Saccharomyces cerevisiae S288C: one gene and its partner. The protein of the gene in region 1 interacts with the protein of each later gene in a biochemical or structural test. Each region holds a gene or a part of one and is shown in the gene's direction. Other genes may lie near its edges.

Region 1 (5,533 bases):
ATAAACCCAAGCGACTGCAAACCCAAAACCATCATCCACAAGGAAACTGGGGTATGCATTGTAGCCACCAGTCAAGTTACTATACACTAGCGCCATTTCACCACATGCTTGAATAATACAGTACAAGATAGAACCCATAATAGCGTAACCAATAAGTAGTCCAGCTGGACCCGCATGAACCAACGCGGTACCGTTACCGACCAATAACCCAGTACCGATACCCGTACCCAACGCAATCATCAGAACATGTCTAGGCTGAATGGTTTTCTTCAGCGAGTCCGACTTATGACCTGTATTAGCGCCTATGTTGTCCGAACTTTCATTTTTTTCTAGTTCTTGAGCCTGTCTAGAAGAAGGTGAGATAGCCGACGTAAGATCGTTCATTTGTGTTGCTTCTACTTCATCCTGTGGACCCTGATCCGCTCTTTTAAAGGAGTCGAAAAACCTACGCACGGCAGAAGTGTTATGCTGTTCGTAACCTAAATGAGGTTGTGAGGATGGACGGTCATTGGAGCCTGTTTCGAAATATTCAATTTCATTATCCTGCCCCGTGGCATGTATTTCTGTGGAGCTATTTTTCAAGTCTTTCAGTTCGTATAGAGACTTCGACGACGACATTGTGCGAAGCTATCTTTGTCTATATTAGCGTGCTTCTTCTATAAAGATTACATAATAAACTTGTTCTACATTGTTGTGGGCAGACCATCAAAGACAAAGCACTTATATATGTATGTAAAACAAATGAGTATTACGAGGAAAATAACAAAAAGAAACTAATCACGAAGGATATGAGTCTTGTTAGCGGACGAGGGGAAGATAGCGCAAGACACACGTATAGCCGACCTATCCTATGCATCTTAGCCGTCTTATCAGGATTGATTTGCGGTTCAGTGAAAGAGATAACCACTGCCAAGCTGGAAGAAATGGCTAGAAGGCACTAAAAAAAGAGCCTCGCAGCGCAACTTAAGAACTGTGGACTACTAAGGAGCAGCAATCCGCTGGACGTGGGGGAGTTGAAAGTTGGCCGGATACTGCAACCTGCTTATCTATGACTCGATGAGACCGTTATTTAGTGCGATGGTGCCACTGGGAGTGCCATCAACGGCAAAGTTGCAGCTTTTTGCAGCAGATCAGTGCCGCTTAGACGGCACCCTCAAGCGGCACTGAAGAACGGCGCGCTTTTTTTTTTCTTCTATTATGCCGGTCAAGGAAAAAAAGAAACCAAAAAAAAATGCCGTGGGAGGCACGGATGCAAGATTTCTCCAAAGTCCCTTTTTAGCCGCCGAGGAAATGAGGAAATAAGGGGTTAGCCGCCGAGTGAAGCCGCCGAGGTATAAAAGGGAGAATGCACACCTTCGTAAGAAGATTCTATTTGAAAGAGTGCTAGGTAAAGTCATCAAAAGGCTTATTGATATAATAATTGCTTTGCAAAATGGAAAACAAATGACTTTGAAAATGGGAGAAAACAAAAATTATATAGGTAATGTTGAGTTCTTGATTTTTTTTTTGTTTCTGTCCTTGCCACAGCTCTTTTCATGGAACATTGGGCTCTAGGATAATTTTTTTATGTTTTCTGTTATGTTTGCCATGGTAGGTTGAGGTAAAGGCGCTCTTTCAGCAATGACGATTTATGCTAATATGTTTTCCTTAAAAGGAAAACATCTCGTTCTTTTTTTCGCGTGCTGTGCAAGAAAACGCGTAACGCAGTCTTAGTAAAAGGGCTCTCTTGAAAACTACATGAAAACTAAAAAAGAAGATGTAAATTTGGATACAACAGCGTAGAATAGCATAATAGAGTGTGCAATAAACGTGTATAGGCTTGATAATAGTGCTGACGTAAATTACCAGAACTACTGCAGTATGACTGTGGCGAATACCGAGACCCATTCTGCTGCTAAACCATCGAGTACTATAGGCCCATGGAAGCTTGGTGAAACACTGGGCTTTGGTAGCACCGGCAAGGTCCAACTTGCGCAACATGAGCGCACGGGCCATAGAACAGCCGTCAAAGTAATCTCAAAGTCCATTTTCAACAACAACGGAAACCACAGTAACGACGATTCAGTGCTGCCATACAACATCGAGCGTGAGATTGTTATTATGAAACTTTTGAGCCACCCAAACGTTCTGAGTCTTTACGACGTTTGGGAAACCAACAATAACCTGTACCTTATCCTGGAATACGCCGAAAAGGGAGAACTGTTCAACTTGCTTGTGGACCACGGTCCCTTGCCCGAGCGTGAGGCCATCAATTGCTTCAGACAGATAATTATAGGCATTTCATACTGCCATGCGCTAGGAATAGTACATCGGGATTTAAAGCCAGAAAATCTTTTGCTCGATAGTTTCTATAATATCAAAATTGCGGATTTTGGTATGGCAGCTTTACAGACAGACGCCGACCTGCTAGAAACTTCTTGTGGGTCTCCTCATTATGCCGCTCCTGAGATCGTATCAGGTCTGCCCTATGAAGGATTTGCCAGCGACGTTTGGTCTTGCGGTGTAATCCTCTTTGCCCTTTTAACGGGTAGACTACCCTTCGATGAAGAAAACGGTAATGTTAGGGATTTGTTATTGAAAGTCCAAAAGGGCCAGTTTGAAATGCCCAATGACACCGAAATTTCCAGAGATGCACAAGATTTAATCGGCAAGATTCTCGTTGTAGATCCCAGGCAAAGAATAAAAATCAGAGACATCCTTAGTCATCCACTGCTAAAAAAATATCAAACCATTAAGGATTCCAAAAGTATCAAAGATTTACCTCGTGAAAATACCTATCTATATCCACTGGCTGACTCGAACAACCATACTAGCGCCTCTATCGATGATTCAATCCTACAAAACTTGGTGGTACTTTGGCATGGTAGACACGCCGATGACATCGTATCTAAACTGAAAGAGAATGGAACCAACAAAGAAAAAATTCTATATGCGCTACTATACCGTTTCAAACTGGACTCTGTAAGGGGATCGAATAAGAAGAACCGCAATAAGATAAAGAAAACCAAAAAAAATAAAAGATCTAGCACACTTTCGTCATCGTCATCATTATTATTGAACAACCGAAGCATACAATCTACGCCACGCAGACGTACATCCAAGAGGCATTCCAGGGAATTCTCTTCTAGCAGGAAGAGATCGTCCTTTTTACTGTCCTCGAATCCTACCGATAGTTCTCCAATACCTTTGAGAAGTAGTAAAAGAATTACACATATTAACGTAGCGTCTGCAAATACCCAAGCAACGCCAAGTGGTGTCCCGAATCCTCACAAGAGGAACTCAAAAAAACGGTCAAGCAAAAGATTATCTTATATGCCTAATACAAAAAGAAGCTCACTAACATCAAAATCATTATCAAACTTTACTAACCTAATAGATGATGATGATTGGGAGTACATTGAAAAGGATGCAAAGAGAACAAGTTCCAACTTCGCTACACTGATTGATGAAATATTTGAGCCTGAGAAATTTGAATTGGCGAAAAGAGAAAAGGCTGAACTTCAAAGAAAAGTTCAGGAAGCAAAAAGGCAATCAGTGAATGCACAGAAGATTAATGAGGACGAGTTTGGATCCGAAGTTTCTGATGGAATGAAAGAGCTGAAAAAAATAAATGACAAAGTGTCGTCCCCGTTGATAAATTACGAATTTTCGCAACAAGAACTATTGCAAGATATAGACACCTTACTAACGAATCGTTATCAACTTTCGTCATATACTAGGCCTATTTCGAGACTGGATCCCGGATTAACGCCTGTTACTGAGACACTTCCTAACAACCTAAAAGAAAAAACAGCTCTGCTGCAGGATACTGAAAAGAAAATAATAGAAACGATACGCAGATCCAAATTTTTAGGATCGCTACTAAATGTTAGAGGGGGACTATCGCCAGGGAAAAGTGAACTGGCACCTATCGAAGAGTCTCCCATAGTTTCAACCACACCACTAATATATAATGATCGAATGGAACCTCGTAGGATATCCGATGTGGAAGTCCCACATTTCACGAGGAAATCAAAACACTTTACTACTGCTAATAATCGGCGCTCAGTCTTATCTTTGTATGCGAAGGATTCAATCAAAGACTTAAACGAATTTTTAATAAAGGAAGATCCTGATTTGCCTCCACAAGGAAGCACTGATAACGAAAGTAGGAGCGAAGATCCCGAAATAGCCGAGAGTATCACTGATTCAAGGAATATACAATATGATGAGGATGATAGTAAGGATGGTGATAATGTGAATAATGATAATATATTGAGCGACTTTCCTCAAGGCGTTGGCATATCACAGGAATACGACATGAAGGATAAAAATCCAAACCAATCTCCAATATCAAAAAGCGCAGAGCCCACACTGGTAGTGAAACTTCCGTCTTTGAGTTCTTTCCAAGGAAAAAACGCCAGTGGGTTGGGCCTATACCAAAGAGAGCCTTCTAAGGTAACCTTACCGAGCCTTACAAGTAATAACAGCAGCGTCGGAGAAAACATAGAGGATGGGGCGGAAAAAGGGACTGAGAGTGAGAAAATCGCTGCTTCCCTGTCAGACGATGACTTGAAGGAAGATAATGACAAGAAAGATAACGACACAGTGAATGCCCCTACTACAGTAAAAAAGCCACCTAACAGCGTACTCTTGAAAAAATTCTCAAAAGGTAAAATCTTAGAACTTGAAATACATGCCAAAATACCTGAAAAGAGACTATACGAGGGCCTACATAAACTACTAGAAGGCTGGAAGCAATACGGGTTGAAAAACCTGGTGTTTAACATCACTAATATGATCATAACAGGAAAATTGGTGAATGACAGTATTTTATTTTTACGATCTACGCTTTTTGAAATAATGGTTTTACCAAATGGAGACGGTAGAAGTTTAATTAAATTCAATAAGAAAACAGGATCTACTAAAACGCTGACCAAGCTTGCTACAGAAATCCAAATTATTTTACAAAAAGAAGGTGTTTTGGACAAATAAAAAAAAGGGAGGGATAATCGATCCCCAAATGGACAATACGATGTAACACCGTTATATAATTAATAAATGTATATATGTAACTATTTTTTGAAAAAAATAAAATGGTAATTTATTAAATATTTGGACCGGTCAACAATCTCAGATATAGTTGAAAAAATCTTTAATTGTAATAGCAGAAAAAAAAAACTCCGATACGGGGAGTCGAACCCCGGTCTCCACGGTGAAAGCGTGATGTGATAGCCGTTACACTATATCGGATAACAAATTATTAAAATTATTTAATAAAAAGATGAACTAATGGTGTATAAAAACATCATAAAAACTCAACTCAACTGTTCCAATAAAATCTGCAATTTAAATTAATTATTCTGAAAAAACACGTAAATTGTTGGAATGGAACCCTAAAATATTTCCTCTTTAGTACTGTTGGAATAGAAATCAACTATCATCTACTAACTAGTATTTACATTACTAGTATATTATCATATACGGTGTTAGAAGATGACGCAAATGATGAGAAATAGTCATCTAAATTAGTGGAAGCTGAAACGCAAGGATT
Region 2 (3,426 bases), on another chromosome or scaffold:
TCGCCCAAAAAAATAGCCAATAAAGCGGCAACTTTCTGTATGTCTTGCATTTTTTCCGCTGACTTGGGAGTAGAGTACAGCTGCGCGGAGTCGCGTATTACAAATCTTGTACTTTGCATTCTGTGCATACGTGAGGAAAAAGCAGCACCTGTTGTGAAAAAAGATAAATTTCTTTTTTTCATTTTTCTATCCTCAAAGGAAAATCTTTTCTGCGAAATTTCTAGCCGCTCTTCAGTTTCCGAAGTAAAGTCGCTGAGGGCGAAAAACAACTTTATTTGCCCACACGCTGTTATAGGCTTCCAGGGAGCAAAAGCGCAATTGGGAATAAGGTTTCCTCAATTGAATGGTTTGCTTCGCCTACAGCATTAACCAGAAGGTAATTTGATCTCTTGTATGTCCGCTAACAGATCTTGTCCATTAATTGTTTATTTTCTTCAGGTAGGCTGAGCCCACTTTGTAGTAGCTCCCTACCATTACTTTTGGCCTTGTAGTTATTGGCTTTGATTTTTTCTTTCTATGACAATCCCGTTGAGCAACCTTGCGAAGGGCTCTTTTTGAAAAAAAGGCGTGGGCAAGATCTCTGTATCCCTTTCTCGGTTTTTTCTTCCCATTCAACAGTAATTGAGTGTCGCTATTTTGACTTACCTCAGTGCCTATTATTAGCATAAGAAATGACCCACATAGTCTGAACTCTAAATAAACCCGAATTAGGAATCAAGTACATTTCATATCCGCTAGGTTTGACAATCCTCCGTAGATAACCTTAATGATACAATGGAAAGGTTATTTTTTATTATTGTCATAGAAGTTGTTACGTGAGCAATATAACACGACGTGAATAGTACGCATACATCTTGTTGTATCGGAAACTTAAAATGCTCATAGATTTTTTGCAGCTTATATTGGTTCTTGTCTCCGTAGGAAACAACGTAATGTAGCCGATAATTTTTTTTTTTTTCGCTCGTAGGCTCTTCAGTAGATACTACTACATAATCACTGTTGTACGCACCTACTATTCTTCCAGGTAACAGTACTACAAAGGGTCTGAGACTGTGCAGTAAACCGATACGCTACAAAATTTCCTTTTCAGCTTTTGCCTGTGATGCATAGCCGCAATGTCAGAGCAAATGGAAATGAAAAGGAGGGCCTTCAAGATTGAAAAAAAGCCCGATTGGAAAATCTTCCGACACGAGGTGCAGTCAAGTACTCATAAACGATACATGTGAAAATCAATCCATATACATCGCGTACGCTCCGTACCTAAAAGTATATCTGGGTTTTGCAGCAATCTTGAGAACAATCAGGTGAGAGATGCCGTTTCTCGGGGTTAAAGAATAAAATGACGGCGATCCCTCTTCTCAGGATCGGGACTATCTCATATAGGAAATATCCTTACGGGAGCATTCCACCTTGAGCTACGAGTGATTGCCATTTACGGTGGGAAATAAGGTTTTCAGTGGATACTGGTTTTGAGGGCAGATCAAGACGATCTGTTTTTTAACTTCCGCTTTAATTCTGCGTATTATTCTGTACAAGAAACTCAAACAACAACAAAAAACAAGATAAAGAATGATGCATCAGGTTCCCGACTTATGTCCCTAAAGTTTCATAAGTAAGAAACCCGCGCGAGAACGTCATTTGAACTACCTTACAGATCTGCAGGTGGCCCGGAAAGGGCAGTCGTGTGCCTTCATCATTATTGTTGTATTCTCTGTGCCTTCTTTTTTTCCTTACTTACTATTTTGCTATATATGTGACTACTACATGTTGATGTTTCAAAATACCTCTTTTATATGCCTGTCAGGGTTTGACAAGTTGAACGAAAGATACAATTGTTAGCTTTTTATTGTTCTATGGCTTCACAATAATTCCTCAAACATTAGTATACTTTTAGTTTTGAGCTTCTTAGTTATAACACAAGTTCATCACCTACCTTCGAAAAATAGCAGTAAACGCCACTAAAGTAAATTACATGAATTTTTCCCTTTCAAAGCAAAGTTCAGAAAAACAATCATCATATACAGACAAGTCAAGATCTCCTAATATAGGAATGTGTACAGTCAATTATAAATCGAACCTCCCCCTTCAAGTGTCCGCAGTTGATCAGCTGAGCACTGGTAAGGGGACTCAATTTTATGGCCACAATAGCTACAAAAATGAACGGGAATGTTATAATAGTACGAAAATAAACTTACCACCAATTTCATCCCTTTTGCCTAATTTTGAAAATAATACACCACCTAACGTAGATTCAAGGGTTCAATTCCCTCCACAGCAAGTTTATCAAAGCATGAATGTTGTACCCATTGTTAATGAGATCTACACCCCAATTTCCATGAACGCAACATCTGATCAATATCCTATCTACTATACGGAAAGTCAGCAACCAATACCACATAGCCAGTCTCCTCATTTGACCTCCTCTGCTCCCTTGATGATGCCAGTCATGGTCCCAACAGTATATAAACCATTGACACCATACGACAAAGAACCAATAACAATTGCCTCCGAACCTAACTTCACTGCAATATCAATGGCGAGTCACCCAAACGCTGCCTTAGAGCTATGCCACGATAGGCCAAAATCAGTCCCACCTGGGTATGGCGTACTTCCAACCATGCAGGAAGCCAGTAACGGCAGAACAAAAAGCGAACCTGGTGCCGTGTTGAACGGTTCAGCAACATTTTCTGATTGGAAAACTGACACCCGAATATCATCCACAAAGCTGAGAAAGCAGTGCCCAGTATGTGGAAAAATTTGTTCGAGGCCCTCAACGCTGAAGACACATTACTTAATTCATACGGGAGATACTCCTTTCAAATGTACTTGGGAGGGTTGCACAAAATCCTTCAATGTGAAAAGCAATATGCTGAGACATTTGAAAAGCCATGAAAGGAAAAGAAACAAAGTCTTAAACACTACATAGAAACAATAGGAACGGAAAGCTTTATTGCAATGGAATTTTTAGAACTCATATTCAAAGGTAAGGCAAAACTATGTATAGACTCTAATAGAATGTTTTACGGACTTTAGAAGCAAGGGAATAAAACTAATTAAGCGCAAGTCACCTTCTTTGTTAGTGTTCTTCCCAGTTTTATATAACGGGAGTGCGTCTTCAAGTTTACTTGGACGCACAAAGACGTTTTTATGTTTATGTATTATTTCGTAAATATATGAGAGGCAAAGAAGATGGATGATGATATAATATGCAAGGGAAAATGCGTAGTTGAGGTATTGGGAAAGTTCCATGTGATCACTTGATGCAAGCCGTGCATTATTTATCAGCAGATCTATTTTCACTTTTCAATTTTTTTCAGGTTGACCCTTCAATATTTTTTTACCTCTTTTTCTAGATATATTTGCAGGGTACTCTCGATGTCCGCAGTTCGTCAAAATGATTATGATTGCCAGTAAGGCCAAGTGAAT

The links. The genes of interacting proteins can lie anywhere in the genome.
Region 2: of the proteins of KCC4 (region 1) and CMR3, one has a biochemical effect on the other in vitro, tested with the Saccharomyces cerevisiae proteins (one large-scale study listed by BioGRID).

Annotation. Positions count from the first base shown.
Region 1 is NC_001135.5:77,302-82,834, forward strand, and holds KCC4 (serine/threonine protein kinase), read left to right. Parts: upstream 1-1,860; coding exon 1,861-4,974; downstream 4,975-5,533. Other genes in the region: amino acid transporter AGP1, read right to left, coding at 1-618. UniProt on the Saccharomyces cerevisiae protein: Involved in regulation of bud growth during cell cycle and in septin organization. Plays a role in cell wall synthesis.
Region 2 is NC_001148.4:584,132-587,557, reverse strand, and holds CMR3 (Cmr3p), read left to right. Parts: upstream 1-1,972; coding exon 1,973-2,926; downstream 2,927-3,426. Other genes in the region: YPR014C (uncharacterized protein), read left to right, coding at 40-369. UniProt on the Saccharomyces cerevisiae protein: Probable transcription factor involved in the regulation of the transcription of genes involved in cell rescue and defense, as well as cell cycle and DNA processing.